Arabidopsis thaliana: one gene and its partners. The protein of the gene in region 1 binds, or shares a complex with, the protein of each later gene. Each region holds a gene or a part of one and is shown on either strand. Other genes may lie near its edges.

The links.
Region 2: TAF15b (region 1) and TAFII59 share a complex: the UniProt entries of both Arabidopsis thaliana proteins name them as parts of the TFIID complex.
Region 3: TAF15b (region 1) and TAF11 share a complex: the UniProt entries of both Arabidopsis thaliana proteins name them as parts of the TFIID complex.
Region 4: TAF15b (region 1) and TAF7 share a complex: the UniProt entries of both Arabidopsis thaliana proteins name them as parts of the TFIID complex.

Annotation. Positions count from the first base shown.
Region 1 is NC_003076.8:23,634,273-23,642,921, forward strand, and holds TAF15b (TBP-associated factor 15B), read right to left. Parts: upstream 6,702-8,649; 5' UTR 6,583-6,701; coding exon 6,396-6,582; intron 6,266-6,395; coding exon 6,172-6,265; intron 6,050-6,171; coding exon 5,416-6,049; intron 5,277-5,415; coding exon 5,126-5,276; intron 5,047-5,125; coding exon 4,968-5,046; intron 4,418-4,967; coding exon 4,294-4,417; 3' UTR 4,176-4,293; exon of another isoform or gene 4,024-4,175; 3' UTR 3,143-4,023; downstream 1-3,142. Other genes in the region: CHX25 (cation/H+ exchanger 25), read right to left, coding at 1-365, 469-765; AT5G58480 (O-Glycosyl hydrolases family 17 protein), read right to left, coding at 6,955-8,041, 8,211-8,554. UniProt on the Arabidopsis thaliana protein: TAFs are components of the transcription factor IID (TFIID) complex that is essential for mediating regulation of RNA polymerase transcription.
Region 2 is NC_003070.9:1,402,585-1,411,816, reverse strand, and holds TAFII59 (TATA BOX ASSOCIATED FACTOR II 59), read left to right. Parts: upstream 1-4,285; 5' UTR 4,286-4,388; exon of another isoform or gene 4,389-4,611; 5' UTR 4,612-4,632; coding exon 4,633-4,758; intron 4,759-4,858; coding exon 4,859-4,945; intron 4,946-5,174; coding exon 5,175-5,276; intron 5,277-5,369; coding exon 5,370-5,478; intron 5,479-5,759; coding exon 5,760-5,860; intron 5,861-5,936; coding exon 5,937-6,074; intron 6,075-6,161; coding exon 6,162-6,257; intron 6,258-6,582; coding exon 6,583-6,707; intron 6,708-7,067; coding exon 7,068-7,200; intron 7,201-7,490; coding exon 7,491-7,616; intron 7,617-7,704; coding exon 7,705-8,211; 3' UTR 8,212-8,221; intron 8,222-8,376; 3' UTR 8,377-8,732; downstream 8,733-9,232. Other genes in the region: AT1G04970 (lipid-binding serum glycoprotein family protein), read right to left, coding at 194-601; AT1G04960 (golgin family A protein (DUF1664)), read left to right, coding at 1,393-1,632, 1,784-1,865, 1,994-2,061, 2,188-2,289, 2,376-2,465, 2,812-2,886, 2,988-3,020, 3,123-3,200 and 2 more; AT1G04945 (HIT-type Zinc finger family protein), read right to left, coding at 9,166-9,232. UniProt on the Arabidopsis thaliana protein: TAFs are components of the transcription factor IID (TFIID) complex that is essential for mediating regulation of RNA polymerase transcription. Required for proper pollen function. May stabilize the interaction of TFIID with selected promoters.
Region 3 is NC_003075.7:10,950,806-10,957,070, forward strand, and holds TAF11 (TBP-associated factor 11), read left to right. Parts: upstream 1-2,734; 5' UTR 2,735-2,895; intron 2,896-2,973; 5' UTR 2,974-2,986; coding exon 2,987-3,303; intron 3,304-3,373; coding exon 3,374-3,461; intron 3,462-3,549; coding exon 3,550-3,649; intron 3,650-3,731; coding exon 3,732-3,859; 3' UTR 3,860-4,271; downstream 4,272-6,265. Other genes in the region: BAM3 (Leucine-rich receptor-like protein kinase family protein), read left to right, coding at 1-1,666, 1,791-2,119; AT4G20290 (uncharacterized protein), read right to left, coding at 4,354-4,779; AT4G20300 (Serine/Threonine-kinase, putative (DUF1639)), read left to right, coding at 5,008-5,015, 5,480-6,013. UniProt on the Arabidopsis thaliana protein: TAFs are components of the transcription factor IID (TFIID) complex that is essential for mediating regulation of RNA polymerase transcription.
Region 4 is NC_003070.9:20,627,458-20,633,919, forward strand, and holds TAF7 (TBP-associated factor 7), read right to left. Parts: upstream 2,236-6,462; 5' UTR 2,034-2,235; coding exon 1,919-2,033; intron 1,545-1,918; coding exon 1,411-1,544; intron 1,314-1,410; coding exon 1,194-1,313; intron 1,048-1,193; coding exon 697-1,047; 3' UTR 566-696; downstream 1-565. Other genes in the region: SCL33 (SC35-like splicing factor 33), read left to right, coding at 3,219-3,361, 3,585-3,662, 4,230-4,265, 4,428-4,598, 4,694-4,822, 4,896-5,238; AAE18 (acyl-activating enzyme 18), read left to right, coding at 5,914-6,182, 6,272-6,401. UniProt on the Arabidopsis thaliana protein: TAFs are components of the transcription factor IID (TFIID) complex that is essential for mediating regulation of RNA polymerase transcription.

The DNA of each region.
Region 1 (8,649 bases):
TTGAGAAGGTTCATGTCTCTCAAAACAGTGTAAATGACCGGAAAAGAAGTGAAACCCAAGGCGAACGTGACCCCTCCAATGGACGAAGGTTTCTGCAATCTTATATCCATTTTGTGTTTTAGGGCAGCTCCCGTGCTCCCCACGCAAGCAATCGGCACCAAAACGCTAACTGCAGCAATGTACTTATGCTTTCTTGGTGCTTTAAAGATTTCTGCAACGTCTGTTTTGGCAGCCGTGAGGAAGAAGAAGTAAAAGAATCCCATCAGTCCTATGTTTGCGCATATGTAATTCGCAATCGGTGGAAACAGATAGTAATTGAAGTTTCGGTTTCTTCCTAACATGGACGGTCCTATCATCATCCCACCCTTCAAAACACAAAACCATGCATTTTGTCTTAAATAATATAATTAGCTCCATCAATGGAAATTTATTAACTATGTAAAAGAAAATATAAGATCGAATACGAACAATGATCTCGCAGACTATACGAGGTTGGCGAAGAGGTCGAAGGAGGACGTAAACAATTTTGATGAAGAAAATGATGAGTATTGCTTCGATCAAAAAGGTTGAAAATGTGTAGTTCATGCCATTTTCGCCTTTGAACATTCCGAACGGCTGCTTATCGTGAACCTGTCGGCAAACCTCCGGAAGTCTGGCTGAGAAAACACGACTGCTGACCACTCCGGCGGTGGTTGGATTCTCTGGCCAGAACCCAAAACGGGTAGGCAGGGCACTCCAGCCATCACTTGGGAAAGACCTAACCATGCATGCAGATTATTCTCTCAGATATTTGACATAAAACAAACGACAATGATCATCCATAGAGAGACAGAGAGAAGGCGATAGATCCATGATTGATGTGTGTTTTTTCCAACAGATGTGGTCGTGCGTCATTTTGGGAACAATTGTAGTTGTAGTTTTCGCTTACTCTTCATATTTTCTTTATTTTTATTTTCTCATTATGAGTTTTTTATGTGAAAAATGTATATGTTTTGTGGTACTTCATCTTCATGATCTACATTTTTCACTCCGTAAACATAGCCGCTTTCTTCTTGAAAACGCATATTTTCATCAGAGTTAAAGAATTCATCAAAAATGTAACGTACGATATGTTTTGTTACACACCTTATGAGAACCATTTTTTTTTCTCTAACAGAAAGTTTATACTCTTTGACTAAAATTAGAGTTGTTGTCAAATAAGATTTAAAAATATATATATAATCTATATATGTATGTTTATACTTTGATTGAAAGGAATGTAAGATGTTTAAATGAGAAACTAAAACAGAAATGTAGGAATGTTACCACCGATCGATATTCTTAGCTTTATTTTCATACTACTGTTTTTACTTTTTACAGTTTCTTTTAAGAATCACATGTGAGGTCAAGGATGAGAATTATAATCTCACTTCATTCCTTAAATTTTGCTGTACTCCTTTCTGCAATAAATGTAGTGCTCTCCATTATATATAGGATGAGTTTTTGTTTAGTTGATGAAAAAAAAAAGATGGATGAATTTAGAAGCAATAACATAAGGGACCGCCGGGACGTGCAAGGTACGGCCGTGGTAGCTGGCTAACACAAACTCCCATGCATATCTCTTTATATATTTTACACAAGATCTATATTTCTTGAAGATTAGTTTTAAAAAGAATTCTTACATATTAAACTACATTTCATACATGTCTTTTTAGTCGTTTTTATTTTCATTTTACACTCACCATCTTCCACTTTAAAACACTTCTCTAAAGTTTTAAACCAATGATAATTTTATTTTATTTTTTATAGTGTGAGATAATGTATTCTATTAATTATACATTTATAATTTGTAGTTCACAATTCATTTACCGTAATCAATGTAGAATACATAGAAATAACAATAAAATCAATATATATGAAACAAAAGCAAAAACAAGAAAACCGTTTGTGATGAAATGGATGTCATGAAATTTTGTTGTTGTTGTGGACATAAATATTGATTTTATTGATATGATAACATTACAAGATTCTGAAATAGTCACTACGTACTAATAATAAATTTGGAAATAAAGGAGAAGTGGAGATCCCACCTACGCCAAATATTGAATGCATCACCGCTTTTTGCGTTCTTCCACATACTGGATTATTTCATTTTATCCTTTTTATTTTCATACATTCTCACTTATCGATCTCATTAAATATTTCCTTCGTTTCCTTTTAATCTCAAGGACTTGTCTAACCGGTGACTAGCTTGTGGCCGTGCTGAGTTTGCATCGTCGAACAAAACTCATAAAATCCTATCTGACGCAGTCGCACAACAGTTTATAATTAGACGTAATTCGTTGACAAATTGCCCTATAGATATATACAGTATACATTAACTAAATCTATCCTCTATCACCTCCCTATTTCTTAGTAAACAATAAAAGAAAGAAATAAAGTTATTGTGGGTATGGGAATGCATTAAAAGTGCCGAATATGCATAAAAAATTGGTACACCTTCCAAAATATGTAATATGGGGACACTTAGCTTAGAGTTGAGACTATAAATACAGCAATATGATCCAAGGTCAAGCTCCTCTATATATATATATACGTACTTAACATTACAATACATATAACATACATGATACATTATAACACATATGTAAAGGAAGATGCATACCTATGGATGTAAATTTCAGATTGAGTAGTAGAGAAATAGCTATAAAGCTCAGGAGGGATAGCGCCATGGCTCACCAGTGCTGTATGTTTTGTATATGCGTACATGTATATCTGTTGGCGCTATCCATCCTGAGTTCCATAGCTTCTTCTTGCTTATATGTGATTCCTACTTCATTCCCTCCTTCGTTTAGCTTCTTGTATACAAGATATGGTAATGGGTAAGTTTATTATTTGCATGTAAATATTTTACCTTTTTTTATATAGAATTGTTGAAGTTCAAATCATATAGAAAATTGTGTCGAAAGTGAGAAAAATCGCAGGTATTGTCAATTTGAGGTTAAGAACACATTAAGTATTAAATAGTGTGGTCTTACAAGTTACAACTTACAAATATCTGGATTTCACACATCTAAGCAGTTTGTTAGAATTACATTGTTACTGCCTTACTTTTTTTTTTTTTTTTTTTTTTTGTAAATTTATGCTTAAGACTACTGGTGGACTTTTATTAAGAATATGTATATTATCCAATATGTGTGTGAAAGGGATGGTAAATAAGTAATATCGCCGTGTGCTAGAGCCAGCCAGCGATTGAGCTGTGAATATGCAATGTTAGAAGATGGATTCTCTTTGTCGAATTGAGAATGGGAATCTTGAAACTAATGTTACAGGATTCCAAATTTCCTGGATTCTTTCTCTCGTCCATATTTTCTACACAACAAGTCATTAATAAACTTTCTCTTGGGATTTTCGGCATTAGTCTTTTTTGTTCCTATAATTTCAACATAAACTTTCGTTACATGTAACACATTAAAGAGTTGGCCAATCCGGCACTTGACCAAAAGGTCATGACATATACACATAGAGAACTTTACGAGACACCCTTCTCTTTAGTCCTTGGGATCCAGATTGAACGATTAACTATTTATTAACAACGTCTTTTATCCAAAAAAAGGCCACTCATTTGTAAAACCCTAATCCTAATCATAGCCCCAGTGAGTGAAGTTGGCAATAAAATCATCAAGTTGATCTTTGAAAGGTCACTGCATACTTCAGATCAACTGATCAGACACAAGTGCCTAGCCATCCCCCACTCCTGCCAATTCTCGAGGAACACATGTTGCTATAAAAGAAGTTTGCGAGAAAAAACGATAACAACTCCGAAAATTGTAAAGAGAAGTGTGGTTGCCTAAATGAATGCATTACACAATACAACATGAAAACATACGACTGTTTTGTTTGTGTTGAACAGAGTCAAAAAAAGAAGGAAGAGAAGCAAAAAAGGGACTTCTGGTGTTGAAAGAAGTAATCAAGATGAATGCACTCACCTGAAATCATCATAGCACCAATTTGCAATGCATTTTGCAGTTAAATATCAGCTTCCTTCAATAAAACAAAAAACAAACATTTCACATCGTGAAAAACAAACTAAAAATAAACCGGAGATGCATGAATAATAGATCCCCAAAGAAACAGAACAAGTAGGGAGAAAAAAGGGGTAATTTTGCTCAAGGTCAAAGTGAACAAAAACCTACCTCTTTTTTTGTATCTCCAATATGAGGATTCATAGAACATTTTACTAAAATTCCCTCCTTAACACACACAAAACTCTTAGAACACATAACAGCTGATTCATTCATTCCTCTCTTTCTCTCAATATGGACGAGACCGGTTTCCCCCATGGTGGTTTCTGTCTGGCCCTGAACTGTAGTTGTCTCTTCTTCTGTCTCCCCCACCACCACCATAGCCACCACCTCCTCCTCCTCTACCCCCACCTCTGCGACATTCACAAGTTTGCAAGGACAACATTATTAGATCAGACACAGACATCTCTAATTAAAACCAGCTTACTACGTAAGATGAAGTGACTCAACACACAACAAAGACGAGTCTTATAGAGCATGGAAAACCAGATAAAGATACAACTTATATGGGGAATTACTAGGAGCTTATAAGAAGCATGAACAAACAACAGATCTCTTCACAACCAAGAGCAGCCACAGCTATAGGTTACAAGATAACTACATAGATTTATTTCCTATGGCATGAACATAGACCTAAGGCATAATTTGATGACATACGAACTCCCAACCCTTTCTGTCATACCCAGATGAGTGTACAAAGCAAATCCCCAGTAGGATACAAGATCCAAACAGTCTTCAGAGACAAGGAACATAAACTTAGCATTGCAAAAACTCATATTCCCTACTAAAATTATAAAGCTAAAAGCCTAAAACAACTAGAGTACAAACACCTATAAGATGGAGCAGGTGGTAACAGCTAAATGGTAACAAAAAAGAATGCTGATAAATGATCAGGACAGCTACCTCTGGTCAAAGGTAGGAGCACGGGGCGCAGACTTTTCTGCCATCGTTACACTAATCTTGTTCCCCCTCATTTCGTAATCTACAAAACAATCCACCACCATTCACGAAACAGAACTTTTAAACAATTTTAAGCTAGACAGCAATTCCATAGTACATACTGTTGAAAAAGCCGCCTGCAGAGTGTGCAGCGCTGGGATCTTCATAAGCCAGACAGGCGTCACCTTTATAGTTACCCTTCTCATCAGTGTAAATCTTAATATTATAGGGCCACTGATCTTTGTAACCACGCTTCTGCTTAATTCTTCCAACCTAAAATAGATCCAACCAGACACACTTTATCAGCACACCAATAAACATGTACACAAACAAGAACTTAATAACTTATAGCAAGGGAAAGGCTTATTCCAAGATATAAAACACAACAGAAGTAAAAGACCAGTGTTATTACTTGGCCAATGCCACCAAAGAGATCCTTGAGTTCATCAGTTGTCACATCCGGAGGTAAATTAGAGATGTATATTCTAGCATTATCACAATTATCATCACAATCAGCATCGCACTGCTTGACTTTTTCAGTAGCTGCATCTTCATAACTAGCTTCCTGCCGTCGAGGAGCACTACCACCATCATAGCCGCCACTCCTACCACCACGACCACCAGTGCTCGGTGCATCACTGCCATAACCCCCTCGTGGACCACCATATGACGGCGGGCCACCAGAATAGCTTGTAGGCGGGGGAACAGCTTCCATTCCATAACCCGTGGGTGGAGGATAACTTCCAGAACCATCGTAGGATGGAATAGCTGCAGCAGGAGGAGGAGCCTGACCATACGAACCATTTTCCCTCTGACTACCACTACCATAGCTACCACCACTCCTACTTCCACCATCATATCTACTACTCTCATAGCTCCTACCACTATCGTTTCTACCACCACGACCACCCCCACGATCACTGTCACCTCCACCTCGGCTATATCCACCACCTCCACGATCATTAGCACCAGAACTAGTACCAGAAGGAGCAAGTGCACCACACTTGTTACATTCAACTCTCCTTGCAAAGTTCACGTTCCCACAACTATACAAACAGTTTCGAGGGTAAACAATTTCAAAACATGCTCCCACAAAGGAATTCAACAGCTAATTCAATTCATTACATATGCAGAAAGAATGGAATCCCAAATAATTTGCAATCATTACCTGGGGTTGGGACAACGCCAATCTCCATCTCTGCCTCCGCCGCCACTTCCTCTTCCACCGCGATCACCTCCTTGATATCCACCACCTCCACCGCCTAAATCAAAACGAATCATCGAAATAGTGAGAAACTAAAGATTTAACAAAAGTAGCTCAGCAAGGAATGGAGAAATCTAAAGAATCATAAGGTTATATCAATCAGATCTGCAACAATCTAAATCACAAACCTCGATTTCCTCTACCACCGCCTCCACCGTAACCACCGCGTCCGCCGTAACTACCTCCGCCAGAGGCACCGCGTCCACCATATCCAGCATCACCACCTCCATAACCTCCCCCTCCGCCGTATCCATCACCACCGTACGACGGAATAGGCGCACCTCCGCCGCCGTCTTGATTGTACATCCCAGCCATGACCTAGGGTTTGCGATAAACAACAGACCAAAACTCTTAACGAATCGTGTGAGAGCCTTTTTAGACGTAGAATAAAAAATCTCGCGTTTTATTTATATTTCTCTCAAAAATAGTGGAACTTTATTATTGCATTTATCTTAAATCTTAAATTCTTTTACATCTTATCTTTTACCGACCGGTTTCCCAAAATAACTGGACTTGCTTTTTTTATCAAATAAGACAACATGGTTCTAAGGCCCATAATCATCTAACCTTTACGAAGGCCCAGCCCAATAACAGTTATTTTTTACGTAGCCCAATACAGTTTTGAAATGTGGCTATTAGAGAGAAATTAGAGGCAAAATCCACCAAAATTTTGCTATAACTACAACTTTAAAAGAGTCCGGACAGTAGGAACAATAAGAGGAGAGGCCAGCTCTGAAAGAAATTTGGAGTTTGCGAAGATGAATGAGAAGTGTCAAGTTGAATCGAGAACCGGCAATTATCCTCAGAAGGATCAACAGTAGTGATCAAACCAAGTCCACCAAAGTTGCAGCTTTCTGCACTGTGATCATTTTGCTGGTACAAGCTATTGAACGCGTATGAAACGTTGCCTGGCCATCTGATGCCTGAACACGACCCGCCAGGAAGTATCGATGTACAGTCCGCAACAGCACACGCTTCTAATGCTCTTGCTGACGCGTTTGACAAGTCCTTGTTATTGTTCACCACACACCACTTAGGAGGAAGGTACTGAACATTCTGCGCGTTTACCTGATTCTTATGGTTGAAACTGAAATTGTATTTGGCTTGACCGTCGAAAGTGAACACTCCCCAGTGCCTCTCAAAGTTCCCAGCAGATAAGTTTCTCTGATCTTCGTCCAAGAGACTTTCAATGTAGGTTTCAACAGGAGGACGCGGGAGAGAGGCCGTCTTTTTCTCCAAGTGAACTATCAGTCCTTTAAAGAACGCCTCAGCAGTCAGTGATGTTGCATTTTCTGCTCCATCTGTAGGCCAACCGATCTTTGACACAACGATATCCACCTCCGAAAACCCAATTGTGAACAATGCAGAGACAAGTGTGTCATAGCTTAGATCAAAGCTGTTTCTGTAGGTTTTACGTCCGTCTTTGTGAGCCTTTGCTGTTTCTTTAAAGAGGCTAAAGTCAAGGGAGATGTTCTTGTTCTGGTGAAAGCTTAGGAAAGGAGAGATTGTCACAAAAAAAGGAGAGTGGTGCTTTGTGAGAAAGGAGAGGAGTTCAATCATCGTCTTGTTGAGGTCAGCCCTAAAGTGTCCTGAAGAAGGTCGACCAGATTCAGAAAGAAAGGAATCAAAGCTTGAGGGGACTACAACCTTCACTTCATTTGCCAAGTTCGCCTTAACTAAAGCATTTTGGATATTCATAGCTGCCCCAATCACAAAAGGCTTATACTGATTGCCATAGCTCTGGAGAAATGGCTCTTCTCCAACTGCTACATACCTGAAAATCAATTCTTTTCTTTAATGATAATTTCACAATAAGAAGATTGGCAATTTGGCATTGAAACAAATCCGACTCATTCACATTCCATAAGTTAAATTCCAGCTTAAAAATCTTAAATCTATATATATATAACTGGATAAGCAGAAGAGAAGGAGAAAGAAGATACTCGATTCGAACTCTGTTTCCACCGTTGAAGTAACGAGTGACATTGTCATGTACCCAGCTCTCTGCTACCTTTACGGATGCATTCAAGCTCTTGAGCATCGAATTTTGGATTCCGATAGTGACACCAATATTAGAACCAGAGAGAGCTCGGAGAACTTTTGGGTCGGCATCGAAGAGCTTCACTTTGACAATGCCGTTTGATTTCAGAAGCTCTACAACCTTTGAAGGCGGAAGAGGGTGCGACGCTTCTGTCCCCCAATTTATGCCAACTGCTCTGACGGTTGTTCCCGTCAAGCTCAACCCTGCCGTGACGGCGAGGAGGAGGAGAAACAGCCGACGAGCCATCAAATCCAGTGAATCTCGTACTTCCACGATAATGTCGGGCCGAGAAATTCAATGTTTAAAAAAACAAAACACTGCGTGCCGTTTCACGACTCAGC
Region 2 (9,232 bases), on another chromosome or scaffold:
AATGGTAAACAGAGAGCAACAGTCACCTCTGATTCCCATATGCAACTATGTTCTAAGACATATAACAATCACGAAACATAAGGATACAAAACAGAACAGAAATTTGTGATTCGCAAGAAAAATCTTGTCTTTCCATTGATTCACAAGATTGAGATGATCAAAACTAAGAATTAGTAAAATTGATCATAATTACCTGAACAGATGCAATACCCTGATCAGATATTTCAATAGGAGGAAGCCAAGTACTGTAAGAATAATGCCAATTCATACTCAAATTACAAGTCGTCCCTGAAGCGACGATGACAACACCTGTCTCACCAAGCTTAACATAAGATGACGCAACGTCAAGCTCGTATATCGTGAGATTCGAGACAACAACATCGATTCCTCCAAGGAACGGGATTTTCATAGATTTCTCAATTCTGGGAATCTGGAGAGGTATAATCGACGCGATAGCTTTGTTAACTAGAAGATTTTTGACGAAATCGAGTCCGTTTTGAGATACGAGAACCGATGTGAATGAATCGGTGCTCTGCGTTTGTGAAGGCAAGAAGAAGAAACTTGGTAATAGAAGAAAGAGAAAGCATCGTCCAACATCCATGGCGGATATTCAAAGCTTTTTTTGTTTTGGTCTCTCTATCTTCTTCGATGAAGAAAACAGGTTAATACAGTGAAGTTGCGTAATGGTTTGGATTATTGAGAAATGTCTAAAATAACCTTAGTCATTCGATTTGCATTGCCTTCTGGGGTAATCTGATTCAAAAGGAAGTGTTTGGGGTGAATACATAAATTGTTAAAATATTAATGTTTCTGGTCAATCAAAGCTAAAGCTGAGGTCTATAGGGCAATAAAAGTATAAATACATATGTAATTGTATATACTGTACATATTAACGTTTGATATGTATATAAGCTCAAGTGGTGTTAAATATTCTAATATGTGTCTAAGGACAATAGTTCGATTAAAATTGGAAGCTTCGGGGGTAAGAACATAAGTTTTGAAAAGTATTTATCTTTGTGGTAAATCAAAGCTAAAATTGAGGTCTAAAGGGCAAAAGGGTGTCATAATTGGTCTCTCGCGGTGGCTTGGCGACACGGAACAGAGAATTAATCGAGAATCTTTTTCAGCTTGTAACCGGAATTCATGGCGATGCAAGCCGGTGTTCAGACCTCTAAGGTCCTTATCCTACTCGGCGCAGGTCTCTTTCTCACTTTGATGCTTGTTTTATTATCTTTGCTTGTTGTAATCAAATTCGATTCGTATTGCTTTGACTCTCTAATCTAGGGAATTGTTTTATGAAGAGTTAGGGTTTGAATTTATCTTGGCAAATTGATTGATCACTTTGCTAAAATGGTCCAGAACTTCTAATCTTCAATCGTTAGTGTAGTTTTGATGGTAATACAGCTTGGATGTAGCAAGAATGATTTAGTTATTCTAGCTTGGATGTTCCATTTAATGACCTTTAATGACACTTGGTTCTGTTTTCATCATGTCCAAGGTGTATCTGGTTCGATCGTATTGAGACATGGGAGGTTGTCTGACCTAATAGCCCAACTTCAAGACTTACTCAATGGTGCTCAAGGAGTTGAAAGCACTCCTTTTAAGTATGACGGTGCACTCCTTGCTGCTCAGGTATTTCATTTTCTTTTGCTCTGTAAGCTTATTTTTCTCATCGATCCAACATAAACAATCGGAATAGAAAATAATTCATCACTCTTTATCACTAGGCCAATACTGGACTCCCCTCTTAGTGACATAATTTTTGTTGTCTCTTGATAACCAGATTCGACAGCTTGCAAACGAGATCAAAGAACTAACTATGACCAATCCAGTTACCATCTTTAATGGAGATTCAAACTCCAGTGGTATGTACAAGTCTTAGTTTCTCATAAAATATTTATGTACTACTTTTGATAATGTAGGAAATGTTTCAAATATGTTTATTTTTTATGAGAAACAGAGAATGATATAATCTTTGCTTTTGCTCTTGTAGGCTATGCATCTTACCTGGTTCCAGCGGCTGCCGTTGGAGCTATGGGGTACTGCTACATGTGGTGGAAGGTGTTTATCTCTTTAAAATCTGTCTATTTTTCTCTATGTTTCATGTGTCTTTTGTTATAGTTTTGTAACATGTGGTTTACCGGTAAACTATATATCATTGACTTCTAAGGTTTACCCACATTGCAGGGCTGGTCGTTTTCAGATGCAATGTTTGTGACAAAGAAAAATATGGCTGATGCGGTTGCCTCTGTTTCGAAACAACTAGACGATTTGTCAGACACATTAGCGGTGAACAAATAATTTTTTTGAGACCTTCCTCTGTTATATATTCTATTTCATTATGATTTTTTGACCTAGTGCATTTGTTTACGCAGTCAACAAGGAAACATCTTTCTCAGAAGCTAGCGACCTTGGATTGGAAGGTGGAAGAGCAGAATGAGACATCTAAAATGATCTTAAGTGATGTAAGGAACCCGTTTTATTTCTCACTTTCTTGTATTGATGCCTTATTTTTTCCTTAGACTTAAGATTAGGATACTTATACATTCGTCTGAGAGAGATCTCCTCTTGTACATTTAACATCTTAGAAGAATTTAAAACACATTTAGGAATTCCAAAAGATTGTAGAGTATTTATTTATTAACGTCCTATCTCTTTGGCCCTGAACTGTTTTTCTTCACATGTACAGTAGAGTCCTTTGTTTCTTTCAAATTACAGCTTGATTCTCATATCTGCGATTTACTCCATCTATGCCTTTCTTTGATATTCATTTTAATGCTAATGCTCACATGGAATCTTGCTTCAATTCAGGTTACTGAGATGAGATCAAGCATTTCGCAAATTGGGTTTGATTTTAAGCAACTTAATGAAATGATTTCTGGAATAGTAAGTCTCATCATTGCCCTCTAATATGCATCATTGCCCTCTAATATGCATATTTTAAAGGGGCTAATATATCTTTACTCTCTTATATGAAATTTTTACAGGAAGGGAAGATTGAAAGTCTTGAAAGCAAACAAGTAATTTGTCTACAACCATTAGATACTACAAACCACTTCACGCTATCAATTTTCTTAAAACTAATTGATCTCAAACAGATATTTTTTTTGTTAAAATTTTAGGATGTGACCCTCTCTGGACTATGGCATCTATGTCAAGTTGCAGGCGTTAAAGACAGCACAAGTACTAAAGTATTTCAGGTGAGTGTTAACTTACAAATTAAGTGAAACGTTTTCTTACTTATTTTTCACGTAGTTATAGGCCTTAATGAAAAAAATCTTGTTTCTGGCTTTGTGGTTTAGGATGTTGGTGAGAGATTACCTATTGATGGAAAACCATCCACTAATACTTCTCTCTCTGTAAGAATGCTACTATACCTTTTTCCATCATATAAATGTGCATTTCCATTCTGTTGACGCAAAAAAGTTGCTTATAGTGAAAAAATTCAACGAGATGGTTGATCTTGAATTTGCATATATTCAAGGCAATCTCTCATCAAGCTTATTCGAATAAAAATTGGAACCTGAAAATACTTGTGGTAGTAGCTGTTATTTGATGATTTCATGTCATGATGTTTCTTTGGCTTTCTAAAACTATAAAACTATGGAAACTCCAGGGTCTGCGGTTTCTGACGGAAGGCAAAGAGGATGCAAATGTAATACACAAGCCGGTTATGGCGAAAGAAATTATGGTGATGGGGGAAAAAACAAAAGTCACTGCAGCGGGAAGAAGCAGAGTTCATAGAGCGTTTCCAGGTGGAATATCTTGGGTACGGGATGTTTCAGGACTATCCTAATATTATTTTGGTTGATATACAAAGAAATTGCTTGTATTCGTCCCAAATTCTGATACTGGGACTGGCAATTATTTTTTCATGTAAAAAGAAGAAAAATCTACATATGTTATTGCATCCACCAACAATTTGGTTTGCCCCTAATTATATTTGGTCTTGATGTTTGTAAAGAAAGAGTGTGATTAAGGCTTTCACGTATGTTGATGTCTTCATTGATTTGGACTTTTGTGCTCCTTTTTCCTTTTGTGTTTGGATCAATTTTGTTTGTGTAGAAAATAGAAAGAACTACCACAGAAGACAGAACTACTGTCTTGAAACATTTGTTTCGTCCTTTCTCGTAGGATTAATTGTCTTTAGTTGGCAGAGAAATAAAATATTTCGCTCTTATTGGGCCTTGGCCCAAAATAGATATAGAGACAGCCCAAATTTAATTTAACCCGAAATAGTCCAACCGGGTGAATTTGACAGCAATTAAAAAACCCGGCCCGGCTTCTTATATTAACAAGAGGCTTGGCATCGGTTAATCGGAGCTTCTTTCCTCTCAAGTGAAGTGTCTGGATCTTCGTCGCTCAACGCAAATCCCTCTCCGGTTCATGTAAATTTCCAACTTATTTTTGTGCTCGAATTTTGGTTAACGGGACAAATTTCACACTTTTACGGAGTATGGAAGCAGCCTTTGTCTTCTGGGCTGTTGAATTGCGATTCATTGTGTATGCCCAACAATGGTTTAATTGGGAGGTTCCAATGATTTTTTGTGCTTTTTTCTTACTTAATATAACCACTGTTGATGTTTCTTCTGTGTCCTTGTATCGCCACAGTGGATAAGCAGCCTGGGGAAGATGAGCATTGTACCTAAGGAAACGGTTGAGGTAATAGCTCAAAGTATTGGGATTACCAACTTGTTACCTGAAGCTGCTCTTATGCTTGCTCCTGATGTTGAGTATCGTGTCCGAGAGATCATGCAGGTTACCTTCTTTTTCTAATCATGTCTTTGTGTTCTTGAGGTGAGTTTTCTGGTATCAGCATATTGATCTTTCTGTACCTTCTCTTTGGATGTCCTTTCAGGAAGCTATCAAATGCATGCGTCACTCAAAGAGAACGACTTTAACAGCTTCGGATGTAGATGGTGCTCTCAACTTAAGGAACGTTGAGGTACAAACTCGATGACCTATTTCTTACTTCCCATTATCTAGAGTTTTGGTTGTGTAAGCTTCCTGGTTTTTGTAGTTGAGTGACAAAGATATATGGTTTCTAGTTTTGAGGTTTGGCTTTACTGGTGCATATGAATAACACCATCTGTTACACATTGCTTTCACATATTTCACTATTGTAGTCAACTGAATCAAAGGCATCTTTTTGAGAGTGATTATATCTATTGCAGCCGATATATGGATTTGCCTCAGGAGGGCCATTTCGTTTTAGAAAAGCTATTGGACATCGCGATTTGTTCTACACTGATGACAGAGAAGTGGATTTCAAAGATGTAAGATGTTGGAAAAGCTGGCATGTTTTTTTTGTTTCAGTTAAATTCTTCATTTTGGGTTCCTTATGTTTTCAAGAAATGTCATGATTCTAGGTGATCGAAGCCCCGCTGCCAAAAGCTCCCCTTGATACTGAAATTGTTTGTCACTGGCTGGCTATTGAAGGAGTGCAACCAGCTATACCAGAAAATGCTCCTTTAGAAGGTTTGTCTCTCAATCTTATGCCCTGGGCTAGAGTTGTAAAGTCATTATATGAATTTTTCAACATGAAACAAATATTAGTATGTACAATGACGTTTCAGAGGTGTATAAACCTCTTTCTACAGTTACCCCGTGTTAAGTGGTGAGCTTACTGATGTTACTGAAAGATCAAAATACATATTTTCAGATCCATCTGTATTATTGTTTTGCGGATCCGCATGAGCAAGAAATCCTTGTTCTTTCCTATCTTGACTATATTTTTCACTTGTTTGTGTTGTCTCTAGTCATTAGAGCACCTGCAGAAACCAAAATCCATGAACAAAAAGACGGACCTCTTATTGACGTTAGGCTACCAGTGAAGCATGTACTATCTAGGGAACTTCAGGTATATGGTGCAGTCTAAATATCATAGGGTAATATCCTTACATACATAGGACTTATCTGTTGTTCTCTCTTCACAGTTATACTTCCAAAAGATTGCTGAACTTGCAATGAGCAAGTCAAATCCTCCTCTGTATAAAGAAGCATTAGTGAGCTTGGCCTCAGACTCAGGACTTCATCCTCTAGTTCCATATTTTACAAATTTCATTGCTGATGAGGTAACATTATGCACCACCGAGGAACTAGTGTGAACCAATAAGACCCACGTTAAGTTTTTGCAGTTTTAATTTTCTCCACTTGTGCAGGTTTCAAATGGCTTAAATGACTTCCGACTCCTGTTTAATCTAATGCACATTGTTAGAAGTCTTCTACAGAATCCTCACATACACATAGAACCTTATGTAAGTTTTCTCTGGATTATCTTTTGCCACTATCTAAAAAATTGTAGAATCATGTAGCTCCATTTTCTTTAGGCTTCTGATTTGGGTTTCTTCAAGTTCTATATTAGACATATTCTATATAATGGGTATCAAATGGTTAGTGGTAGTGTTTGTCCGAGGTCTGCAAGCTCGAGTGCTTAAGTACTCTCAGTCTGCTTGAAATAACAACAAGTTTTGCCTTTGATCTGTATTGAGATTATGTAAACCAGCCTTGGGATAATGAGTTGGTTGTTTGAGCAATGTTTCATAACCATGAAGCTGAGTGAACTTTTTCTTTTGGTGCCAGCTGCACCAGTTGATGCCATCTGTTGTAACATGCCTTGTATCAAGAAAGCTTGGAAATAGATTTGCTGACAACCACTGGGAACTCAGAGATTTTGCGGCAAATCTGGTTTCACTGATATGTAAAAGGTTCATTATTTCCCTTTCATGTCATGAACTCTGTGTTTGTTTTGGTTGATTGTGGGGATCTATACATGATTTCTTACTGGAGCTAATAATGAAATTCTATAAGGAAATATCATGAGATGATTATCCATAGATGTTCTGCTAAGTTTATCTTGTTTGATCTCTTTACTATTGATATCTACTTCTTTTTTGCTCGAGCTGAAAAACAAATGGTTAGATCTATATTAACAACAATTAGTAATAACTTGCTATAGTCTTCTTCATTATTTAAAAGGGTACATTGTCTCGCACTTTTATTTTACATATCTCACCTTTATATTCTTTTAGCATCTGAAATCCTGTGATTTTAATAAAATCTTGCAGGTATGGAACCGTTTATATAACTCTTCAGTCTCGTCTTACCAGAACTTTAGTCAATGCACTGCTGGACCCAAAGAAGGCTTTGACTCAGCACTATGGTGCGATTCAAGGATTAGCAGCTTTGGGGCACACTGTTGTAAGTCATTCCTTGACCTTTCAGAAAGTTTGTGCATGCTATTTCAGATATCACCGAGAAATAATGTTACCCAGCTTGTCCTTCAATCTAGGGACTTTTCAGAATCTGAGATACAATTTGATTTGCCCATACCATTTTTCCGGGTTTGCTTATTCATTTTATTGGGAAATTAGGACTTTTATCGTCTTAAACGGCTACTCCAGTGAATCAGATACCCCTGCTACCAAAAACTTTAGCACAGCTATCCTGCATTGTTATCTGTTGTCATCTGAATGTCATATATTGTGTAGGTACGCCTTCTTATTCTATCAAATCTCGAACCATATCTAAGTCTTCTCGAACCTGAATTGAATGCTGAGAAGCAAAAAAATCAGATGAAGATCTACGAAGCTTGGCGTGTATATGGAGCCTTGCTGGTTAGTAAACACATCCTTGTAAAATTTCATCTTTGTAGAATTCTCAGTGGACAATCCTTAGATGGACTTGCCCCCTTTTTCTTTTCAGCGTGCTGCAGGCTTGTGTATACATGGCCGGCTTAAAATCTTCCCACCTTTACCATCTCCGTCACCAAGTTTTCTCCATAAGGGAAAGGGAAAGGGAAAGATAATCAGTACTGATCCCCACAAGCGGAAGCTGAGTGTAGATTCTTCAGAAAACCAATCACCGCAGAAAAGATTGATAACCATGGATGGGCCAGATGGTGTACATTCACAAGATCAATCTGGCTCAGCTCCAATGCAAGTAGATAATCCAGTGGAAAATGACAATCCGCCACAAAACTCTGTTCAGCCATCCTCATCAGAACAAGCCTCTGATGCTAACGAATCTGAAAGCAGAAATGGAAAGGTGAAAGAAAGCGGCAGGAGTCGGGCTATTACCATGAAAGCAATCCTTGATCAGATATGGAAAGATGATCTTGATTCCGGACGGCTATTGGTGAAACTGCACGAACTCTATGGTGATAGGATTCTTCCCTTTATCCCTTCTACAGAGATGTCAGTATTCCTCTAACCAATAAGAGGTGAGCTATTCTATTCCCCAACTTCCTGATATTTACCTCATCGATATAAAACTCATGGTTCCAGTCGTGAATGCAATAAATATGTGAAATCAAAAGAATAATGATACTCAATACATTAATGCTAATGAAATAGATGTTTGATGATTTTCAAGCAGAGAAGGAGGCTTGGAGAGATTAAAGCGCCGTCTGGTTGGCATACATAAACTCATTTAGATCCGTGCCATTGTTCTCAGGTCAACTCTTTAGTTCTTCTTTTTAAGCTTGAGGGATTTCAAAGTCCTTAGGAGCCTGCAGAGTGGGTTGAGTTGAATTGAACCGGTTGCAATGTATATATTAAGAGAATTTTAATGATTCCGTAGTGGACTTATTTGTTTACTCTCAAATGTAATCCATGAAATAATTTCTCTTCAAATCTGTATGATCTAGATTGCAATTTTTGATATTGTTGTTTACATGTATGCTCTCTTGCTTATTTACTCTTTACATATAATATCCGTTCATAGATTATATCTATTGTTGATCCTTCTGGTCCGTTGCTAGAAAACTTTTGGGCAAACTACAAGGTTTGGTCTGTATTACATTGACTATAAAGAAGATCTGAAAGACAACAAGATTAATTTATGAGGATCTATAGGAGGATAAGACTGAACAAAAGTTTCGGAGACATTCTTAAGTTAACTATCTTGTATGTAAACAATCAAGTTTGCTACAAACCACAGAACAGCCTAGTAATCTGGTTTACTACAAAAGAAATACCTGTTGATCAAAGCCCAGACCGAAAACTTATGACCATCAGTGCTGTGGCTTATTGCATTCCAGTAAAAGCTTTGGCTATTACCAAGTATAGCTAATGTGCTCGAACAAGAGAGCTTCAGGCATGAACATAATCCTCAAAAATGTTTCACAGAGAGTAATTCCTTTTTGCCAGAACAAGACTATGACCATCATTCGACGATTTCCCCTTCTTCTAAATCTAGTCCATCAGCGATGAAATCAGTATCTAAATTTTGG
Region 3 (6,265 bases), on another chromosome or scaffold:
AACAGACTACACGGCGAGATCCCTGAGTTCGTATCTGAGCTTCCTGATCTGCAAATACTCAAGCTTTGGCACAACAATTTCACCGGAAAGATTCCTTCGAAACTCGGATCAAACGGGAACTTGATCGAGATCGATTTGTCTACCAATAAACTCACAGGTTTGATCCCTGAGTCACTCTGTTTCGGAAGAAGACTAAAGATTCTCATTCTCTTCAACAACTTCTTGTTCGGTCCTCTCCCTGAAGATCTTGGCCAATGTGAACCGCTATGGAGATTCCGTCTCGGACAGAACTTTCTGACAAGTAAGTTGCCAAAGGGTTTGATTTATTTGCCGAATCTTTCGCTTCTTGAGCTTCAAAACAACTTTTTGACTGGAGAAATCCCCGAAGAAGAGGCGGGAAATGCGCAGTTTTCGAGCCTTACTCAGATCAATCTGTCCAACAACAGGTTATCCGGACCGATTCCTGGTTCAATCAGAAACCTCAGAAGCCTTCAGATTCTTCTTCTCGGTGCAAACCGGTTATCGGGACAGATCCCTGGCGAAATCGGAAGTTTGAAGAGTCTTCTCAAGATTGACATGAGCAGAAACAACTTCTCAGGCAAGTTTCCTCCTGAGTTTGGTGATTGCATGTCACTCACATATTTAGATTTGAGTCACAACCAGATTTCCGGTCAGATTCCGGTTCAGATATCGCAGATTCGGATTCTAAACTATCTGAATGTTTCTTGGAATTCCTTTAACCAAAGCCTTCCCAACGAACTCGGATACATGAAGAGTTTAACATCAGCAGATTTCTCACACAACAACTTCTCCGGTTCAGTACCAACTTCAGGGCAATTCTCTTACTTCAACAACACGTCATTCCTTGGAAACCCTTTTCTCTGTGGATTTTCTTCAAACCCTTGCAACGGTTCCCAAAACCAATCTCAATCTCAGCTACTTAACCAGAACAACGCAAGATCCCGAGGTGAAATCTCCGCAAAATTCAAGTTGTTCTTCGGGTTAGGCCTACTAGGGTTTTTCTTGGTGTTCGTCGTTTTAGCTGTGGTCAAGAATAGGAGAATGAGAAAGAACAACCCGAATTTATGGAAGCTTATAGGGTTTCAGAAGCTCGGTTTCAGAAGCGAACACATATTAGAATGTGTTAAAGAGAACCATGTGATTGGGAAAGGCGGACGAGGGATTGTCTACAAAGGGGTAATGCCAAACGGAGAAGAAGTTGCAGTCAAGAAGCTCTTAACCATAACCAAAGGATCATCTCATGACAACGGTTTAGCCGCAGAGATTCAGACATTAGGTAGAATCAGACACAGAAACATAGTGAGATTGCTCGCTTTTTGTTCAAACAAAGACGTGAATCTCCTTGTTTACGAGTATATGCCTAATGGTAGCCTCGGAGAAGTCTTGCACGGGAAAGCTGGAGTGTTTTTGAAATGGGAAACACGGTTGCAAATAGCGTTGGAAGCGGCTAAGGGGTTGTGTTATCTTCACCATGATTGCTCGCCACTTATAATCCACCGTGATGTGAAGTCAAACAACATCTTGTTGGGTCCTGAGTTTGAAGCTCATGTTGCTGATTTTGGGCTTGCTAAGTTTATGATGCAAGACAATGGAGCTTCCGAGTGCATGTCCTCGATCGCTGGCTCGTACGGCTACATCGCTCCAGGTACATGACTGATTCCTAATACTACTTTCTTGTATCACACGTAACATTCAAACTTAGGATTTCAGTACTTCTAGTTAAAACGTATGATTGATCTTAGCCCATTTTATCCGTTTCTTGAATGCAGAATATGCATATACACTGAGAATAGACGAGAAGAGCGATGTGTACAGCTTCGGAGTAGTGTTATTGGAGCTGATTACGGGTCGAAAACCAGTAGATAATTTTGGGGAAGAAGGGATAGACATTGTGCAATGGTCAAAGATCCAAACAAACTGTAACAGACAAGGTGTGGTGAAGATCATTGACCAGAGATTGAGCAATATTCCATTAGCAGAGGCCATGGAACTGTTCTTTGTGGCAATGCTATGTGTGCAAGAACATAGTGTTGAGAGACCGACCATGAGAGAGGTTGTCCAGATGATCTCTCAGGCTAAACAGCCTAATACTTTCTAAATGCAGTGATGTTATATATATAAGAGACTAAATATATATTTTTCTGTTTTATGTGTTTCATAGAGTTTTGTTTTTAGAATTTGTAATGATGGTTTGGTGGTGATATGAGTTTATATTGAAATTGAGGAGGAAAAAAAGGGTTAGCATTATATCTTCCTATCATAAAGTATCAAGCAAAACTAAATAACATTTGCTAGAAAATTATGAATTATGTGAAAGATTTGAAAAAATAGATAACTGTTCTTTGATTCATTTGGAATTATAAAAATCATGATGACCAAAGAAAAATGTTGAAATCACTCAAGCATTTGATTTAACATATGATTATCCAATATCTATAGAAATAGTTAGCATTTGAGTGTTTTTACTTTTTAGTATCCAATTCACTATCATTGATATTTTTAATTTTGTTGTCTAGCTCGATTTATAACATTTGGCTAGTTGTAAATCGTTATCCCAACATTGTATTCCAAAAAAAAAAACCAGTTAGTTATTCAGTGGTTTTGAACTGAGCCCAGCCCAAATCCAATGATGTGGTTCTCGAAACTTTTTGGGTTGGTTTAACAAAAACCGGTTCAGATCTTTTCTTTTGATCCACCAATTGATTGGACTAAACCGACTTATAACAGTCGCTACACTCCTATAGAAAAGCTTGAAATTGAACACAGTCGATGAATTTTCCTCTCCGCCTGGAAGATTGTGGAGCTCCCAGTTGTTGTTAACAACGGTCTAGAGATTCGTGTCTCTTGAAATTCGATCTGAGTTTCACCTTCAAGGTTCGTCAATGATCCGTAGCAATTTGCTTCGTTCTAAACCCTAATTTGAGATCTCAATTATGTGATTTTTTCGTTTAGGTTTTAATCAGGAATGAAGCATTCAAAGGATCCGTTTGAAGCAGCGATTGAGGAAGAGCAAGAGGAATCGCCACCGGAATCACCCGTTGGCGGAGGAGGAGGAGGTGATGGTAGTGAAGACGGACGAATTGAAATCGACCAGACTCAAGATGAAGATGAGAGACCTGTGGATGTTCGCCGTCCGATGAAGAAAGCTAAAACCTCTGTTGTTGTTACTGAAGCTAAGAACAAAGATAAAGATGAAGATGATGAAGAAGAGGAAGAGAATATGGATGTTGAGCTTACTAAATATCCAACTAGTTCTGATCCTGCTAAAATGGCCAAAATGCAGTGAGTCTTTGTAGAATTTTGATTGTTCTTCATGTTTCTTTGATGATTGATTGTTTGTTGAATTCTTCAGAACCATATTATCGCAATTCACTGAGGATCAGATGAGTAGATATGAATCTTTTAGGAGATCTGCACTTCAAAGACCACAGATGAAGAAGGTATATATGTTATATGATTTGTGGTTATCAACATTCTTAATTTTGTTTCATTGCAAATATGAACCATTTAGCTTTTATGTTAATGCAGTTATTGATAGGTGTCACTGGTAGTCAGAAGATTGGTATGCCAATGATTATTGTTGCGTGTGGTATTGCAAAGATGTTCGTTGGTGAACTCGTTGAAACAGGTAAGCCAGTGCAAAAATTTCCAATGATTTTGTTTATGTGCCAACAAAGCTCATTTACTGAACCTCAATACATTATCTGTAGCTCGAGTTGTTATGGCGGAAAGGAAAGAATCAGGACCTATCAGACCTTGTCATATCAGGGAGTCTTATCGGAGACTAAAGCTCGAAGGAAAAGTGCCTAAAAGATCAGTTCCACGCCTTTTCCGCTAGTCAACAAGAGCCAAAAGAGAACTTATATCAGCCTAAGACTGGGGAATTTACCAATGCTGCTCAAGGATAAGGGTCTACGGCAGGTTTAAGCTGGCGAGATTTGCCTATCAATCTCATCATAAAGGAGAACTTCTTTGGCTTCCCTGGTGGATCATATTGTTCTTTGATGTTCTTAACTTTGTGTGACAACTTTTGTAGTAAATCAATCTTTGGATACAGACCCTGAAATGGCTATCAGTCTTACGGTTTGGTTTTTATTTGGTTTACGTTTCCAGTTTTCATTTTCAATACAAGATCAATCTTTGACTACAGACCACATGGCCTAAAAGTGGCAATCCGGTTTACTAGGTTGGATTCGGTTTCATTTCCGGTTTTATAGAATTCGAAATCAAATAAAATCATTTGTAATCCGGTTTATTTGGTTAAATTTGGCTATACCTAAAAATTGGTTTTAGTATTGATTCGTTTTTGGTCGAACATTACAAGAACTGGGTTTATAAGTTCAAATTCAAATTGTGTATTTCTTCGGCGTGATTGAAAACCGTCGCGATCAGAATTCGGTCTACTGTCAAAATTGGTACGGAGACGTTTTGAATCACACAAGTTCCGGCGAAAGAGGATCTAGTGGGCCTGATAATGGGCCGATCTCGAAACGAACTATTACGTGAAGAGAAGAAAACAAAGTGGGTTGCGAATTGAAAGTCTACAGAAAATAAAAGGACTGGATTGGAAAAATAAAAAGAATAAAAGAAGTTTTGACACAATAACGCACCCACTATCTTTCTCCTTCCCTTCCGCCTTCCTTCTTCTTCTTCTTCTTCTTCATCCTCCTCACTGTTTAACGCAGAGCGCCTCCGTTTCTTCTCTTCTCCTCCTCTCTCTTTTCTCTCTACACAAATATTTTTCCCTTCTTTTTTCATTCTCTTTATTCAATATAATCCTTTTGATTCGCTGGTGATCGGTACGAGAAACTTAGAATCACACGAGGAAGCTGTGTTTCGTTTATCCTCGTTTAATCGGAATCGAAATTTGTTCTGGAGAAGAAATTTAACGAATCATAGATTCCTGATACAAAAAAAAAACTATCACAGATCGGAATCGGAAACGTAACCATTACATAATTCGAATCTGGTTTTCACTTGGGTATAATGATGAGGTTTCTCTTCTTCTTCTTCTCCGTTCTTCTTCTCTCTGTGTTTTTTCCATCTTCTCTGAGTTTTTCTATTTTCCACTGATTTGGTTTTCTGTTGTTTTCTGGATTTCTAATTAGTTTCTATGGATCTGAGTTTGATTGTAAAAAAACTTGAGATTGACTCTAATGTCAAAAACTTTTGATCTCCTCCAGATTTCGTCTTCTTTGGATTCACCAGTTTTTAACTAATCTCAATTTGATCCAATAACCAAATTGTTTTTCGCCTTTTGAACAAAAACAAAATAATCTCAGAGCTTCTCCGTCAAATTCTGATTTGGGTTATTTTCAATTAAAACTCAGAAGAATTTTGAGAAGATTAACTCTAAAATCTCGCATAAAACACAGACACATTTTTACAATTTTTCACAGTTCAATCTTCCTTTTCGTTTTCATGATTTTGATCTAATTATTTTTGTGTTTTTGATTAGGTATCAGAGAGTAAGCCCAGATTGTCTTCCTCTCACAAATGGAGGTAAGAAGCCTTACTTACGACCATCACCATCAAGAGCAACAAACGAAGACACCACCACCACCACCGTCATTACCACAACCTCAATCGCCGGAAGAGGATTTAACGGCGGATCATGCACAACCACCACCAACAACACCTCATCTCTAGACGGAGTCCCCAAAGGATTCCGATTCAGATCCACTCAACAGCAGCAACAACAACAAGATCCTAGTCCTAGCCGTCGCGGCGGTGATGTACTGTTACAGTGGGGACAACGAAAACGATCGAGAGCCTCTAGAGCTGAGATCCGATCCACCACCACCATCACAACCACCGCCGATGATTCTTCGTCTTCTTCAGGTCAAGGTAAGATACAATCAAACAAACCGCAAAGAAGATCGATGAATCCTTCTATGCCACCTCCACCACCAGCTCCGCCGATTTTCTCGGGCCGGAGTACAAACCCTAGAAACGGTTTCGTTATCGGCAAGGAATCTTTCTTCCCTTCCAGGTTTAGCCTCAAATCTTTCTTCATTCAATTAAATTTCCATATTTTGATATATTTACTTACCTTAAATGTTTTAGAATCGAGTTTGATTTGTCTTTTTTTACCTTTAATCGTTTAGATTTTGTTACTGTAAATTAATCCATATGATCGTGACTTCATTAGCTTCCATATATTTCTCTTTTTGTTCATCCATGTTATGTGATAAATAATGTGCCCTTGTTTTTATTTTTATATAAAGTAAAGCTATTTTTGATT
Region 4 (6,462 bases), on another chromosome or scaffold:
GGCAAGCCAAAACCTAGACTAATCCCTTGACGTTTTTCTTTCTTCTCAATGAGTGTTTATAAAAGCTGTGGAAGCTTCTTGATACAAAGACTAAAAAGAATTTATAGAAAGAACACGAAGAAGATGAAGAGGAAGATCGTGACGGCAACTACTTACGAGGCTCTACACATTTGTTTTAGCTTCGGGTTGTTTTGTTTGAAAAATGACATAATTCATAATTGTGTATGTAATGAAAGGTAGACATGGTTGCACGTATTCACTATTCAGGATAGAAAATGGAGGGACCGATAATTAGAATCTCAATTTCTAGGCAGAGTGTCAATTTTCTTTTCTTATTCTTGGCATTGTAGAAAATGACCCGGAAGAAAAACCTTAAAGTTTAATGAAGGCGATGGTTGGTGTTTGGATTAGATTCCAGCTTTTGATAGGTTTAGCATCAACAATGTCTTGGTTCTTGTTCTTTAAGTCTAAGGTTTTTCTTTTACTATCAATCTTTGGTTCATTCCTGAAACTGTCTTCAAGAAATAACCGAAATTGAACTAGAATAAACAGAATCTTTGGTGTAGTTTGAACGCAAAACAACTTTTCCATTGAAAAAGGTCGAACAAGACATCATCAAATCATGGGGACATAATTATCCATGATTTTCTAAGACAGGACTTGCGCAAACTCTAAGCTTTCGTAAGAAAAATCTCTTTATATAATAATAAACTCACATTGAATCATCAGAATCTTCTGATTCACTTCTCTCCGGTTCAACTCCTGTTGGATTACTAGTGCCTGTCTCAGGAGCTTCAGGCTTTTCAACAGGTGTAGGTGAAGAAGAAGATACTTTCTTACTTGCATTACTAGCATTCTCGTTCGTAGCTGGTTCCTCTTGCTCATGTACCTACACCAAAAAAAGTTCAAATAAATGAAGTTACTAAATCCAAGGAGCAAATATAGACACATCATGTGTCGAAAATAGAAAGAAAAGCTTACATTTTCTACCGTTCCGCCACTCAATATATTCAACAAGTCTCTCTCAACCCGCTGTACAAGCTCCGGCTGCAACATTTTGGCAAATCAATATGTTAACTTAATAGAAAGAACTTTGGAGTTCCAAAAGATACGTTTCACTACAGACTTTCAATCATAATCACAAGTATTAGTGAAACAATGTTGATGGATAGATAACAACAAATGAAAATTACATTAAGGTCAGGCTCTCGACGAAATCTCCTCTTTCGAGCATCCTTCATTGGAGGAGTTAGACCATGTCTGTATTCAACTGTATTAGGCGCAGGATCACCAGGCTCCCTAACCATGATCATCTGTGTGCCAAATCAAAGCATCCATATTGAGTTTTAGTCCAAAATTACAGAAGTTAACGCATATAAGTAAAAGATGAATCAAGTAACTTGATTTTACCTGCCCAATATCAGCAGTTTTGACTAATGCACAATCATCATAAGTTTTAAAAGACTCAACAACTGCAGGGAGATCAAGCAGAGAAGCCGGGAACTCGTCGTTTCCAATCATAAACGTCCCGTTTCTCCCATCCTCTGCAAATTCAGTTCACACAAACATTACGTATCAAGTTTGCTCCAGAGACAATATGCAAATGGATTTCTAGACAAACTATAATGATGCAACAAGAATGTCTTTTGGCTTCTTTGACAAAACAGACAATTCACAACATTAAGCTGATCCAGGAGACACAAATCACAAGCTTTGATCCTTAATCAGATTCAAGAATGTCTTTTGGGCAAACCAACATTCAAGAACTCATCACGTGACACAAGGAGCAATCCCCGAAACGATCCAGACACTAATTTCATTGATTGACGACTAAAGGACATAAATTTAAGAAAAAGGATGAAACTTTAACCCAGATGTAATGTGCCAAAAAAGAGAGAAACCCTTTAAAAATTGGTACCTGAAAAAAACAAATCCAAAGGGATTTCGTCGGAAGTAGAAGCATCCTCGCTTAAAAGCCGATCAATTCGTTCTGAAACAGACGGTGGAACCCTAAGTATGAACTGTTCTTCCATTGTAGATACCAACAGCTTGACTTGAATTCTTCTTCTTAATCAATCCAGAAACGTGAATTCGCGAACGCAGATCGTATCGAATACGTATACTTCGGTCTGTTGATGTCGTAAGTCGAAAAGAGACGAGAATCTATTGAACTGAAACACGAATTCTTTGTTATGTTAGAGAGAGAGAGAGAGAGAGAGAGAGAGAGAGACATTATAAGATAAACCTTCTAGAAGTATCCTTTTAACAATTTATTATTTTATTTCCCTCCCTAAAGGTTTCAAGATTTATGTTTTGACCAAAATAATTATAAAAGGTACAAACAGAACCCAACAATTGGTGAAAAATCACCAATTTGCTATTTAATTCTATTGAATTTTACATTTTTAGTTCCTCTTAGATAATTGATCTCACTAAGTATAAATGTATAATGATAATAAAAAGGAAGATAATTTAATTACCAGAAATTGGAATGGAGCATCTATCAAATAGAAAACTTTAAGGGGATTTTAATACTTTAAAATAATTTTGAGGGGGTTAAATGTAAAACGTAAATAATATAAAGAAACCCTAATAAATAAGTCGTTCATTGATCAATCTTCTCCAATTCTTGCAGCATCACTTCTCCGTCGTTCCTCACCACCGAGATTCGTTCACCGGTAAGTCTTATCCCTGATATTTTGCTCTTCTTCCCAACCGTATATACCCGTATCTTCTTCTTTCTCTGTCGAATAAACTTGGCTTTTCCGACTTCGATTCCTTCAATTGTAAACAACTTCGTTGCCCGTACAACTTTTTGAGTCCGGTGAAAGATCCCGTGACGGAAAAAACTGTAGATCAGGCAATTATTATGTCTATACATCGATATAAAGGATTGAATCGTTCATCTTAAGTAAGTTTGACGAAAGTTGTGATCTTTTGTGCCTATTCACATATAACGTTTCTTAGCTCCTATCTTTTGAAATTGAGCTGATTCGATCTCTACCTGAATTGCATGTGATCTTATTTTGATATAATTTACTATTCAATTAGAAAATATGATCTTTCTAGATTGATTGCTTCTTTAAAGTTCTCTTAGACGCTGGTGTTATAGCTCTTGTGTTTGTGGTCTCTTCTCTCTTAAATATCCAACCTCTTTTGGTGTATTTTCTAATCTAGTTTGTGTTGACTGACTGATAGAGAGATTGAAGCTTGACTCAATGAGGGGAAGGAGCTACACTCCGTCACCACCTAGGGGTTATGGGAGGAGGGGTCGAAGCCCAAGCCCTAGAGGCCGATATGGAGGTCGTAGCAGGGACCTCCCGACCAGTCTTTTGGTTCGCAATCTACGCCATGATTGCAGGTACATACTTTTGACTTCTCTATTATTTTCTTCAGCCATTGTGGATGATGTTATTGTTTGCACACCTCTTAAGCAAGAAGACTTGACACCTCTTAGCATATTTTGGCATGATGTTCTCTTATCTTTACTGTAAAGGTTTTCAAAAAGTTGACGTCAATGTATCTTCATTTCTTGGCTTTTAGCAAATTGTAATTCTCTTCTTACTCCTTGTCCTTTTCTTCAGGCAAGAAGATCTCAGGAAGTCGTTTGAGCAGTTTGGTCCTGTCAAGGACATTTACCTGCCAAGGGATTATTATACCGGGTGAGCATGTTTTGTAAATAGGACAACCAACACTTGATTTTTACTTATGTTCTGATTAGAAAATATCCCTATTTTCACATCTTCTTTCTTGATTTGTTTACTACGTTTATCTGCCTTTCCTTTTTCTTTCGGTCATCTCTTTGTGTCTTCTCATGGATACTAGGGCCTTATGAGAATCTTCTTAAAAACTGATTTCATAAATTAAATTTAGGCTCCATATTTTTCAGATAGTAATTTTCTGTGACATGACAATAGACAGTGAGCATACTTGTGGTCTTAAACCACTAGTTTTCGGTGTCGTTAGGTGGATTAGTCGTTTAGAATTTAGTACCTGGTGAGACCTCATAGTTTTTAGTCGCTTAAGGAAAAGGATACATGATGATATGTTCCATGTCTGAACACACTATGAGTGAGTTAATTGAAGTTGTTGAGGTTTAGCAGTGAATCTAAAGAATTGAAGACATCAAAGAAGTAATTAGAGTTCTTATGAAGATGTTCTATATGGTAGTGAAGAATTGAAGTGAAGTTGAGTTTGTATTCTATGTGAAGATGAATCAAGTCTTCAAGAAGTCATCTTTGTACTGACACTTGCAAGGCTAGCAGGCAAGTGCTTGCTTTTTTCATGTTTACTGATATCTTCGGTTGCAGGGGATCATATCGCCAGTTGTCCTTCAACAGGATTGTTATAAAGTGGTACATCTTCCTCGCCATTTTGTATGTTTGGTTTCTAGTCTGAGATCTTTTTGTTCTACATTTTGAATGCAGAGATCCGCGAGGGTTTGGGTTCGTTCAATTTATGGACCCTGCTGATGCTGCTGATGCAAAACATCACATGGATGGTTATCTTCTTCTTGGCCGTGAGTTGACTGTCGTGTTTGCAGAAGAGAACAGAAAGAAACCGACTGAAATGAGAGCAAGGGAGCGTGGTGGAGGAAGGTGCATGAATCTTTCTCTTTTTGAACTATTTTGGTTATTGTCAAATATCAAAAACTCAATATTTAACATCTTTTTTTGGTTCGTTGGAGCAGCAGATTTCGGGATAGAAGACGTACTCCACCTCGTTACTACTCTCGCTCTCGTTCTCCTCCCCCTCGACGTGGTAGATCTCGGTCACGGAGCGGTGACTATTATTCTCCTCCCCCTAGAAGACATCACCCAAGGTTTCTATATGTTTCTGTCTAAGCTCAATTACAAACTTCTCCACGCTTGTATGCTCACTGTCTATTGTCACAGATCTATCTCGCCCAGGGAAGAGCGATATGATGGGAGGAGGTCATACTCGCGCTCACCTGCCTCTGATGGCTCAAGGGGTCGCAGTTTAACTCCAGTCAGAGGTAAGAGCCGCAGCTTAAGCCCCAGCCCTAGAAGAAGCATAAGCCGTAGCCCAAGAAGAAGCAGGAGCCCAAGCCCAAAAAGAAATAGGAGCGTTAGCCCAAGAAGAAGCATAAGCCGTAGCCCTAGAAGAAGCAGGAGTCCGAGGAGAAGCAGAAGAAGCTACACTCCTGAACCCGCCAGAAGCAGGAGCCAAAGCCCGCATGGGGGCCAGTATGACGAAGACCGTTCACCAAGCCAGTGATTGATTCGTCACTCTTTTGCTAGTCTTCTCTAGATTATGGTTGTGTCTTGTACCCTTATCCTAAGACGAAGTTAAGATGATACTGAAAAGCCGAGAACTTTATGTTTTGGGTTTTTATGTTTTGATCTATGGAACATGTGGGGAACATGGTACTGTTATTATAAGTTCTTTAAGATATAATCTGAGGTTATTATGATAGTTGCAACATTGGTCAACCACACAAGGAGCTCATGGAGGAAGCTTTTTGGATTACTTGCGAATATATCAGCTCTAGTTTTTGTTATCCGTCGTATCAACCAAAGCATTTTCAAGAGATCCATTAATCACATCAAAAGCCGCGTTTTGGATATGTTGCACTGGGCGGAAGACGGATGGCTTCGCCGTCGTTTTGAACATGTCATCGTTTTGGTAATACTAACGTTAATTGCTATTCTGAATAGAATTGGTTTCTTTGATGAATCAAGAACTCAGCAGAGCCAAAGAGTATGGTCCGATGTTAACTGAGGAGTTGGGTTTTCTTCATAAAGATGAGACCTTTTCTGTTTTAAAAGCAAAACAAATCGCCATTTGGAGCATTCTCGTCCACCGAATCTACCTACCAGTCTACCACCATTGACAAGCTTTAAACTTTAAACTATAAAAAAGGCAACAACTTGTATAGAGAGATAGAAAGAGATGTGGAAGAGCATAGGCGAATTGAGTTGCGATGATTATGTCAAAGCTGGGTTGACTTTGGAAGACGCCAAGGAATTTGACAAATTGGTGAGCGATGTGATTACAAAGGCTATAGAGACTGATCCAAGAGATCAATGGAAAGCTTTGGTAGATGAGAGTGTGCTTAAGCCATGGCATCCACATCCTCTGCATCAGCTTCTCTACTACTCTGTCTATTCAAACTGGGACTCCTCTGTTCATGGCCCTCCTCTCTATTGGTTTCCTTCTCTGTGCGTTTCATGAACTTGTTCGAAATTCTGATATTTATCTGTAAAATACAGCTGATTGTCTGTTCAATTTCTTCTTTGTGTGTGTTTAGATCTCAGTCAAAGTCCACCAATCTGGGGAAGCTGATGGAATATCACGGACCAAGACTTCTTGGTCCTTCATACAAGAACCCTCTTGAAAGTTTTGAACTTTTCCGGAGATTCTCAGTTGAACACCCTGAAGTAAGCATCAACGTTGAATGTTGTCGAGCAAAAGAATCTTTGTCGCAGCTCTGGTTTGGTC